Linked DNA regions of Struthio camelus. The protein of the gene in region 2 binds, or shares a complex with, the protein of the main gene of each other region. Links are inferred from orthologs where the notes say so. Each region holds a gene or a part of one and is shown on either strand. Other genes may lie near its edges. The genes, in order: NUP37, SEH1L and WDR59.

Region 1 (3,747 bases), on a different chromosome or scaffold from region 2:
TTTTAAGGAATGTTAATTATAGCTTCAAAATAGTTATAAACTTTGTTGTTTTTCAGACAAGCTGAAAGTCTTAGAAGAGAGTTAAATCTAAATAGCATATATACAGAAAACAATATATGCGTGCAAAAAAAGGAGCTGATTGTGACAAAAAAGAATAGTTTGCACAATGAACAGCAAAACTTAGGCTATACATTTCAAAGCTGTCCACCTAAGTTACTAGGTAGCAATCAGCAACATTTCCAAGAGATGATACAGATGGGATTGCCTACTACTGTTTCATTGCAATCTATTGAAAAAGAACTTTATACCAGCAGAATGATGATCTCACAGTGAGATCACCATTCTCACTGAGATCACAGTGATATATTTAGTTATAACCAACTTGTAGAAAATATATATATACAAAAATATATATTTTCTCAGAGAATAAGTACTCTAGACTCATTAAGTCAATAGACTGCCTGGTAAAATGGAGTGAGGGGAAACAGGAAAGCAGCTTGGGTCTTTGTGCACCAGAGGTGCTGGCAAAGTAAGTTTCAGGAGGCAACTAATAAAAATCTCAGCAATAACACAAACTAACCTGAAATCTGCAAGTCCCAACTACTACGTAATTATTGCCACCATATGCGATTAGCGAACATGCATCTCCACAATCAAATGGATTGAATTTTACCACGTGCACATAATCTTCACAATCCACAGTGTAAGCAGCATTTCTAATAGAATCTTGCTTCATTTTCAAGGGAATAAATCAGGGTATCAACGTCTTCTACAGGATGAAGACCTATATACCTACGTATAAAGTTTGAAAAAGCAATCGTTACACATTTGCATAAAGAAAGATAAAAGTATTTGCGGCATAAATCAAACTTTGCTATAATACCATATTTAAAAAGAACACAAAAGCAGTATTTAAGCTCAGCGTATATAGATTTAATATGTAATTCTATCAATCAAAATATTAACTAGAACGCTTATATACGTTCAAAGCTGTCTCTACTGACTTCAGCAATAATGGCAAATTTTGTGCCATTATGACAATCAGCACTAAGACAAAAAAAGTGCCGGGAGATTAAGGCACTGTACACATCAGAAGAGTCACACATAGAACTGCTCAATTTCCAACAAAGAGACAACAAACGATGCATCACTACCTTCAAATTCTCTTCTCTAGTGTGTCTCTTTAAAAGATAGTATTTGTTTAATTAAAAGCAGAGCTAATCAGGGCCACACAACGTAAATGAGAATACATACAGAACACGAAAATACAGTTTCATGATTTAAGCCAACCCAACTGCTGACAGAGCCTCTGTAGTTCCCCTCTAACAGCAAAACAGCTAACTTTCAACTAGAAAAAAAGTGTGCATGTCCACAACTTACTACTTTACTGTATTCAACCAGTTTTCAAGTAAATTGGGTTCCTGCGCTAATACAGCGGGAGCCGAGATACACAACAGAGAACAGAATCATCCCTTCCAGCCCCAGGACAGATTCTCATTAGTTTAAGCCTTTTGGGAAAACATATCTTTAATTACACACAGCGTGTAGAAATAGCTTTATGTTTGAGAGCCCTGACAGATTTTGCTAAGCTAGCAGTCTGCAGGTCTCAGGATCAAAGACTGAATTTTTTGCTTGGGAACCACCCAGGTTTTCCACGGACATCACCAAGGCACAAAAAAGCTCTCCGTAGTTGCACTCTTTCATTCATTCAGCAATATGACACGCCACCACAGTGATACTGCGGCCAAGTCCTACATACAGCTATGTTTCTTCTGAGGCCAAATTTTAACCCCACCTGTAGCTTTCTGACTTGCAAGATATCTCACCAACGCAGACTGCCAGACCAGTTTAATTAAAAACTTCCTCGAGGTTATTTAGCTTAATTCCTTAAGGAAACACAACTCCGGCAACTGAGCCGTGCGGGTGCCCGGCAGCCCCACTGCAGCCCCCTGCTCCCTCCTCCTCCCCTCGGAGCCCAGCTGCTAACGCCAAGCTAACGTCCCAGCACGCTGCCTCCTCCCGCCCGAGGGCCCGGGCCGCGCCCGCCCCAGCCAGGCGAGCCCCGGCCCCAGCCCCGCTCCTGGGCCGGGAGAGGCCCCGAGCTCCCCCCCCCCCCGGGCCGAGGCCCCTGCACGCACCTCTGCGGCCCCCAAAGCGCCCAACGGCCGCGGCACCGGCGGCAGCGCAACCGCCTCTCCCGCCAACCGTTGGCAGCGCCTCCCACCCCGGTGCCGGCAGCCCTATGCTTCCGGGTCAGCGGTCTCGCGCTCCCTAATTGGGCAGCTGCCGAGGATTTAAATTTAAACCGCCGGGGAGGGCAGTTGCGGTCTCGCGCTTGAGCTGCGCTGGTGGCTTTGTCCTCCTAGTCACGCAGGTATCTTCCCCTAGGAGAGCAGGAGGACTGAGTTGGCTGGGAGAGGGGTGCTAAAGTCTGGGGGAGGGCGTAGGAGCTGCGGTCCTCTTCTAAGCAAAGAGCGGGGTGCCCCGGGGTGGGGGTGCCCCGGCTTCGCGCTGTCCCTGAGGTGCTCGCGGGGGGGCAGCGCGAGGCTGGGAGGTGGTGAGGGGCGCCCTGCGGTGGCCACGGCCGGGGCCCTCAAGCTGGGGGGAGGGATGATGGTGATAGGATAGGACAGGACAGGCCTTAGGGCTTACTTCAGTTTGTTTTGTTTTTTCTTGGCTTGTTTGAGATGTTTCCCTAAGTGTTTGCTCTGAGTGGTTTGGCTTGTTCCTCAGAAACTGCCCACGTTGTGGGGGGGGGAGGGCGGGGGAGGGAGAATGGAGAAGCACCTCAGGAGAGATTATGTCTGCCCCATACTGACTTGCACCTGGTCAACTGTCCTGTCCCCTATGGCCTGCATGACTTGTTCACGTCAGTGTAAGCAGAAATAAAATGAAGCAAGTCATCCCTTGCAAGCAACTTGGAAAATAAACTATTGCAGCTGCTGTTACTGTTTTGCTTGTTATGAGAAGTCTCCTGTATTCCTCACCTCTCTCCTGTGCTTGTTTGTTCTTCATGGTTATGCCTGTTTAAAAAAAAATGCTGTGGGTTGTGTGTGTGAATGAGGTGAAATATAATAAGGGGAAAGGTTAGTTTTGTGTTCTATAAGTGGATGACCTAGTTCTTGCTAGGTACTACATGCAATGTTGAGCCCTGTGTTTCAGGGAAGAATAGGTTTAAAGAAAGCAAGATGAGAGTCTCAGGTACCTTTTCTTTAAAAAAAAAAAAAAAAAAAAAGGAGGGGGGCAAGAGGCTGAGGAAGAGCAAAGCACAAAGTAGTCAAATTCAAAACTGATACTGAACTCATTCCTAAAGGAAATAGGAGAGATCAAGAAAAAAAAAAACCCAAATTATTTAGTATTTGGAAATATCTTTTTGTAGTGATTTTTGGAACATCTATTAAATCTCACATTTCTAGGCTTAAAGCACGTCCATAGAGACTGGTCTGAAAGTATAGTGGATGCAGATAGTACAGAAAGCAGATTATCTCCAGGGAGGTTTGTATTTTTCCCTGGGGCATTTTGACTGACTGGTTTCAGAGGCGAGACTGTCTTGTGTGTGATAACTTTTACTCTGTTATGTTAGTGTGATGTAAAAGGAGAACATGGGGTGTTTATGAAGACATGTCGTATATAAGCACTTTTTCCCTGTTTCCTGCAATGTTTGCTCTGCCTTAGCGAGGTGACTTTTGCTGGTGTATGTAGGCTTTGCACACTGGTGGGGAGAGTTTATTCTTCAGACTTCTACTG
Region 2 (3,747 bases):
TACTCTCAGGGCTGACCTGATAGTAATCATTAATAGAGTAAACCATAAAACAAAGAAGTAAATGTACTTTGATAAGTAAGTAAGTCAAAAACTGACGTGTTAAATGTTGCTTGTGCTTTTTGGATTTGCATCGCTGCAGAGAGCTCCAACGTTGGAAGTACGGAAATGTAAAAAGAGAGTAAATTATAGCCCAGCTTAACAATATCTACTAAAGAGAGGGAAATGGCAATAGCCCTGGCTAGAAGAGGGGAGAAAGCGGGAAGCAGCTGCAGCGCTGGTTAGGAGGCAGCAATATAGCTTGAGGACAGTAGTGCGAGAAAGCAGGCGGGGACTTGGGTGAGCAGCTGCGAAGGGTTCCTACGAGATGGTGAAAGCAGCAGGAGAAAGGAGGATGTGGGACAATGGTGGCAGTGACATACAAAAAGGTTCAGAATTACTGTGTCGGATTGCCGTAACCGACTTAACGTGTTTCTGAGATGGCTCCCAAAAAGGCGAAATCTATGACTTACTGCCATCTACTGGAATATAGTATTCACGTCTAATTCACGTTTTACTGATACAACTACATTTAATTGTTTTAAATATTCCTTTACCAAGATGTGAAGTAAGAAATCCTCCCCAAAGCCCATAAAAAAAGAAAAAAAGGTCTCAGATGCAACGTAGGCCTGGAGAAGGCTGTCCAAAGGCAGCAAGGTTGCTGCTTTCTGAGGTGCCAAAACGACGACCGTGATTTCCCGAGAAAGCTCAACCTTGCATCACCTAGAAAGGAACGTTAATATTATGTTTCTTACACGTCTCCTAGTCAGGACTGGTTTCATTCAGTTAGGCCTTATCTGATGCCTACTGCTTTGCTGTCCTCTGTGAGAGATTCACTACTGAGTGTCACTGCGGCTCACGTTGCGCGTGGCTCCACACTGCGACGACACGCAGTGCCCTATTTTCAAAGCACAGAGTTAGCTCCGGCCAGAGCAGCAGCCCTCAACAAAGCAACTCCAAGCTCGGGACAGCTCGTATTCCCCCGCGCCGGCACGGAGGCGCTCGCTGCCTGCTTTGTGGATGCCCACGGACGTGGGGGGCGGGGAGGGAGGGGGGGAAGACCTTCCCCCTGGAGGACGGGTCACCGCCGGGTGGCTGGGGAGGGCAGAGCGGCTCCGCGGTGCGCGGAAAAGGGGGGCGCCCCAGCGCGGCTGCCGCCCGCCCCAGCGCGGCCGCAGGGGGAGGGGAAGGGAGGGGAGGGGCGCGCGCGAAGGGCCGTTCACTCGGCGCCGGAACGCACGTTGGCCGTTGTAGGAGGGGGAGGAGCGAGCGGGCGGGCGCGGAGGGCTCTGGGGGCTGAGCGCGGGCCGGCGGCGGCCGTTGCCCCGCCCCCGGCGCGAGGAGGGCGCGCGCCTGGGCCGGGCCGGGCCGGGCCGCGGAGATGTTCGTGGCGCGCAGCATCGCGGCGGATCACCGCGACCTCATCCACGATGTCTCCTTCGACTTCCACGGGCGGCGCATGGCGACGTGCTCCAGCGACCAGAGCGTCAAAGTGAGCGGGAGCCGCCGGGCCTGGGCGGGGCGGGGAGGAAGAGGAGGCACCGTGGCGCCTGCCCGCGGAGCCCGGCACCGGCGCGGCCTGCAGGGCCCACCGCGCCGCCGGCGGGCACCGGCCGCGGCCGTGCGGAGCCGCCGGGCTCGGGGGCCGGCCGGCCGCCGCTCCGCCCTGCCCGGCGCGGCGCGGCGGGCCTCCAGGCCCGAGGGAGCCCGTCCCTCTCCCCGCTCCGCCTTGTGGCGCCGAGGCCTGGGAGCGAAGCGTCGCTCCAGCCGCCCGGGAGCCGCCGCCCCGGCGGGCGGGCGACCGGCCTTCGGCCTCCCCCGGGGACTGCGGAGGGCAAATGCTGCAGAAAGCCCCAGCTGCCGTTCTTGAGCTAAATGATTGCGCCCCCAGACTTCAACGGCAGGGACTGTAAAGCCACAATGTATTTATACATAATGCTTTTTTTAATATATATATATGCACACACACATATATACACATGCACATGTGTATATAGTATGTATATATGTAAGTATATATATACATATACATGTGCAAACGCACACACAGACACAGGAATACATAATTTTTTTCGACCCCTTGCTACAGCTGGGAAAACCACACAAGCACCTGATTCTCCTTTTTGGATTTGAAACAGGAGCAGTAGTTTTTGTAGTCTGTTGTTTTCGTGTCACGTGGGATGACGGGACTGTGTGCCCCAGTACCCAGAGAGGCTTTTCCTATCGGTATTAATTGGTCTAAATAGATATGTTCTTTTTCCTGACAGCTCTTACTTTTTTTTTTTTTTTAACATCCTTAAACCATTGTGGCTACAGCAGTGCAGTTTTATTTTGTGTCTTCTGAAAAGCTGTATTTATTTGAAGGCACTAAGGGAGGAAGCCGACGTCTCATACCGAAGCGCCGACAATCAACAACTAGCTGAAACGTTCTGTGCGTGCTCACACAGATAAAATGCTAGAAACCTTTATTTCACACTCCTTTAGAGGAACTAAAATCATGATAAATGGAAAGTTAATTGCTTTTTCCATTATATGAGTATAGGGAGAAGAGGTTACGTACTGTTAGATTTAAGGTATTCAGTTTGCAGAGGGCAATAATAGCATTTTTTTTTCTTTTTTAAGTTCTGGAAAATGGCCGATAAAACGTTAGCACTTTTCAGTAAATAGCTGTCTAATTTAGATGAGGCTTAAAAATAAGTAAACAGCCCCTCTTCCCTTCCCCGCACTTCAAAAAAAGCCCACTCAAGCATGTAAGTCAGCCTTTGATCTGGATTAAGTATATAAAACGTAAAGCTTAAAAGAGAATATACTTAAGAAAGGTGCCATAAGGTAGATGAAATTTAGGAACAATATTGTTCAGTGGTATAAAGTTACTTTCCAGTCATACCAGTATCTCTTATAAGAGAGTCTTGAGAAATTTTACTCTAACGAGAATTTTACAACACTGCTTAAATAGCAGTATATCTGTTATTTGGTGTCTGTTTTAGGTCCCCTCTGCCTTAGGTGGGCCCTGCAGAATAGGAATCGGGCAGCAATTTTTGTGGAGTTGGCCTGGTGAACTGATTATAACCAAGGTTGTATTAGAGATCCAGAATGACAAAAGTGAGACAATGTTATTTCAATACGGTTATACAGTGAATGAGTGAGAAACAAGGAGTGGCTGCCAGGTGTCTGGAGTTGTCTTTCCTTGATGAGATTCATGAGTTTCTTCATGATTTCTCTGAAAAAGTTGCAAAGACAAGATTTTTGGGAAGTTGAGAAAAATTATTGACAGGATGGTTATAATTCAGGTCAGACATAGTATGAACCAAATCTGTTAACCTACTGGGATCAGTTTCTCTTTGCTGTCCTACTCTGTCCTTTGTGATTGCCAGAAGCCACCTCGAGGTTTTGGAACTATCTGTGAGCACATGCCATGGTGAGGATCATAGGAGTGCTATGGTAAAATGGAGTAATTTTGGCATGCCCATGGAATGTAAGATCAAAGTGAAGAGATGAGAATTGTAATAATTTGTCTTCTGTAAAAAAAAATAGGAGACCTCATACTGTAGTGGGTTTTGCAGATGTGTGGCTCTTCCTCGGACCTGTATTAAGGATATTTTCAAGGTTGAGTGAAGTGTAGTAGTGTACTGGACCAGAAAGGATTTTCTGGAGGGAAATAATTTGTGGTCCTTTTTTTTTTTTTTTTTAAATGACCCTGTTTTTTTTATA
Region 3 (3,747 bases), on a different chromosome or scaffold from region 2:
GGCCATCTTTCCCCAAGATAGGAGAAATCTACCAGTCAATTTAAAGTGATTGATAATTGCATATACGGAGTTTATTTCCTGGTGTTGGCACAAGGATATCATAAATCCTTATAAACTGTTTTTCAATAATGAACACTGGTAAACTTTTTTCCAGGCACTGTCCATCATAAAAAGTAATGACTAATTACTGGACAGTAGAAAGCTTTGTGTGTCAGGCTGCTGTTCTGCTGGGTCAGAAATGAAGTCAGTTTATGGCAAGATCTTTCCTCCAATATTACAGCCTCTTATCTAGGCAACAGAAGGAAAAAAAAAAATCAGCATTTAATGTGCTTTGTATACGGATACATGTGTCTTTGCAGCACAACCTTCCAGAAGGTGCGGTTGAAAATCAACCAACCAACCTGAAAACAGTTTTTATCCTAAAACAATAATCAGGATAGCTAGAGTTGCTGTTTATAAGTAACAGCTCTGTGAACGCTAGGAGCACTGCACAGTTAAAACCAACTCTGAGCCTACAGCCCAGGGAGTATCTTCTCAGACTTCAAACGTCTACCTTAGCATTTAATTTGACTTCTGCTAGACAAGTCACAGAAAACACCTTCACCTGAACAGCAACAGATTTGCCAAGGCTACATTGATTTTTAGACTGCAAATTGTTGGTGAGAGAGATCAGCTGTTTGCATAGTATAACTTCTCGCCTGCACGCTGAGTTGCTCTGACGATTTCATAGTCAGATACGGTGAGTTTTACTCTCCGTTTGACAGTATTGACAGCCTGACAAGAGCCTGTGGGTCATATCTAAATTGGAAGAGAGCACAGACTGCTGCCTCTGTCGGTTTCTATAGAAAAAATGTCACTTCTAGACAACATTCGCCCCAAACTACCATAAGGTTTTCTGCTTGGATGGAGTGTTGCAGATTAGGTGCTGTAGTTTTCACACGACACGCTTTCGGCATTGGAAATGAAGGTAACTGCAGTTCCTGCAGACAAGTACAGCCTATAAATGCAACAGCCGGCCACTCTTTGACTCTCTTTGCAGTTATATTAGTTTGGGATAGGGATTTTGGAGGCAGCATGGCCTATAGGTAGAACTCAGGCCTACATGATCACAGCCAAGGCATTTCTCCTTCTGAAGATCAGGTTTCCGCTCTGCAAAAATCTTTCATGCATGCAAACTCCTAAAAAAGCTAAAGCTCAAACATATATAAATGAGATTAGTTTGAAAGCAATAGTCTAGCAGCCCAAGAGACTGAAGCCCTCTGATTTCATTTGAGGGGACAGGCAGGTCAGAGCCATTCTAGAAGGATGACCATTGGAGTAAACTGAAGCAACTGAAATACCTCCCTATTTAAGGCATAAATCAGCACAACAGCTAGACTGACACCAATTGCTGAAGAGGATTTAAACACCTGTTTCTTCCTCTCTTTTCTCCTCTTTGCTCCCACACACAAATCATTATGAATAAGCAATCAAGTGATAAGACCGTGACTTTCCTGAGCCAGATGAGAGCTTAATCTGTGATCCAGGAATAAATACTTCTGTATCTTGTTACTAGTTTCTTGAGAGCAAATCTTTAAAAACAGAGTCATAGTCTCTAGACAAGACAGAAGAATTTCTTTCAGGAGGAAAACAAAACTAATGTAAAGTTTTTCAGACATAAAACCGAAAAGACTTGTTAGTTTACAAATTGTAGGCTGGATTTAACCAACACAGTATTCAATGCGTCTATCAGGAACAGTGAACGTAGACTGGATATTGCTTTAGCATAAGAGGACGAACTACAAGATAAGAGATTCTGCAAACCTGTTTTTTATTTTTCTAGATATCTTACTGAAATAATTCACATACTCTATTCAGCTTTGTGAAACAATTGCCAATATCTTAAAAAAAAAAAAAAAGAAAGAAAGAAAGAAAGAAACACACCCTCTGTTTCTTAGAATAGCTTCTAAGAAAGCACATAAGCAAACTCTTAAGGGAGTTCTACTGTAAACAACTTCAAAAATAAAAGCTGCCCTTTTTGCTATTTAAAAACCTAAACTGCTTTTCCTGCTAACCAAGCTATATTCAATAATTCATACTTGCAGCCATGAAAGTCGCTGTGATGGCCTCAGAGGAAAAATAAGGTAAGATGTGTGGGAAGAAGTAACGTCTTCTATTAGGCCTGCCAATATAGTTGGAAAAAACAGACACATGTTAAAAATCTAATTAAGATTAGAAATAAACTGCCTCGTGAAATAAGATGTTTTCCCCATAAGCCAGACTAAAACACTGCTACTGCTAAAACGCTGCTAACAAAAACAATGAACAGTCACGTTAAAATTTTACTGGCTTTGACTGCAGCTAGGTCACGAGCTTGTAAAGAAGCTCTCTTGCACATCAGGTTTTATACGGTTGGACTAGAGAAGAAAAAACGTACTCCTGCTACCACCTCTTTAACAAAATAGACAGATAACCAGCAACTGCACAAAGCAATAGACTTGGCCTCAATTTGTTACATTCAATTATATGTACTTATCTTTAGGTGTTCAGCATAACAGAGTGCTTAGCAACCACCTGCTCTCAGTTTGAGACACCTCATTTTACTGGCAGCAGCGGTGACGAGTTTCAGAAAAGATCATACCCAAAAGATCACACCTGGAGCTTCGCAGGCCCGGTTGCCTCGGACATTAAGGCGGTTCCCGTCTCTACACGTTTGCATGAGAAATCTAAAGAAACGAGGCCAAGCCACAGGGCACCCATCATGACTGAAGGTTTCGGGGTGCGGGGAACAAAGGGAACAAGAGAGAAAGTTGTCTGGAAATAGATTTTTAAAAAAGGCGAGGGGGAGGCAGCCAAAACGCTGCTCCGGTTTTGGCCCCCCGCACCGAGGGCAGGGCTCTCTGCCAGACGGCGCTGCGCCTAGCTCCCCTCCGCGGCGGAGGGCTGCGCGCGCTTTGCTCCAAACGGGGGTTAAGGCAGCCGCCGCCGCCGCCGCCGCCGCCGCCGCCCCGAGAGCGGCCCCTCGCCGCGCCCGCAGCGGCGCGCACCGCGAAACCGCCCCCGGGGCGGCAACCGCGGCCCGCAACCAGGAGCCGAGCCCCCGCGGGCCGCGGCCCGGCCGCCGCAGGCGCCCAGCGGAGCCCCGCGCCGCCGGCCGGCCGGCCGGCCGCTCGCGGTAGCGGTGCCTGCGGCCGCCGGGGCGGAGCGGCTGCCCTGCGCCCGGCCCCCCCCGGCGGCCACCGCGCACCTGGGCGTCGCGGAACTCCACCACCACATTCTCGCTGCTCCAGCGCGCCGCCATCTTGCGCCGCCCCAGCAACCCCCGACGCCGGCCCCGGCGGGCGGGGTCGGGGGGAGGAGCCGCGGGGGCCGCGCGTGCGCGCGGGGAGGCGCCCGCAGGGGCGGCTGGGAAATGTAGTCCTCGGCGGCCGCAGCGCGACTGCCGTTGCCCGCCGCGGGGCAGTCGGGCCGCCAGCCTGCCCCGGGCAGGCACAGCGGGAGGGGGCCCTGCAGGGACCCAGCCCCCCGGAGGGGCCCTCGGGGAGGGCCCTCAGCAGCCTCAGCGGCTTGTCGTGGGCGCGGGGTGTCAGGGCACGCCGCCCCCGGCCCCGGCCGCGAGGCGGCCAGGCAAGGGGCAGGAGCCGGGGCGGGGGGCTCACACGACGCTCGGGAGTTCGGTGGTGGTGCGCGAAGCGACGCCCTGGGAGAAGGGAGCCGAGGAGCTCACGGGCCGTGGGTGAAACCTCGGCTCCTCCACGGCAGCGCTGA

The links.
Region 1: SEH1L (region 2) and NUP37 share a complex: the UniProt entries of both Homo sapiens proteins name them as parts of the nup107-160 subcomplex of the nuclear pore complex. The link is inferred for Struthio camelus from reciprocal best matches to the Homo sapiens genes SEH1L and NUP37.
Region 3: the proteins of SEH1L (region 2) and WDR59 are in contact, whole or in part, in a cryo-EM structure (PDB 7UHY), measured with the Homo sapiens proteins. The link is inferred for Struthio camelus from reciprocal best matches to the Homo sapiens genes SEH1L and WDR59. Residues at the interface, in NP_112493.2 of Homo sapiens: Asn308, Tyr309, Met310, Asn312, Lys314; in NP_085058.3 of Homo sapiens: Pro713, Asp714, Glu716, Thr717, Pro718, Arg721, Arg837, Glu840, Gln843, His844, Asn847.

Annotation. Positions count from the first base shown.
Region 1 is NC_090942.1:63,533,063-63,536,809, reverse strand, and holds the start of NUP37 (nucleoporin Nup37), read right to left. Parts: upstream 2,274-3,747; 5' UTR 2,139-2,273; intron 793-2,138; 5' UTR 737-792; coding exon 581-736; intron 1-580. UniProt on the Homo sapiens protein: Component of the Nup107-160 subcomplex of the nuclear pore complex (NPC). The Nup107-160 subcomplex is required for the assembly of a functional NPC.
Region 2 is NC_090943.1:113,515,912-113,519,658, reverse strand, and holds the start of SEH1L (nucleoporin SEH1), read left to right. Parts: upstream 1-1,346; 5' UTR 1,347-1,417; coding exon 1,418-1,528; intron 1,529-3,747. UniProt on the Homo sapiens protein: Component of the Nup107-160 subcomplex of the nuclear pore complex (NPC). The Nup107-160 subcomplex is required for the assembly of a functional NPC.
Region 3 is NC_090951.1:22,342,340-22,346,086, reverse strand, and holds the start of WDR59 (GATOR2 complex protein WDR59), read right to left. Parts: upstream 2,817-3,747; 5' UTR 2,699-2,816; coding exon 2,635-2,698; intron 2,162-2,634; coding exon 2,079-2,161; intron 1-2,078. UniProt on the Homo sapiens protein: As a component of the GATOR2 complex, functions as an activator of the amino acid-sensing branch of the mTORC1 signaling pathway. The GATOR2 complex indirectly activates mTORC1 through the inhibition of the GATOR1 subcomplex.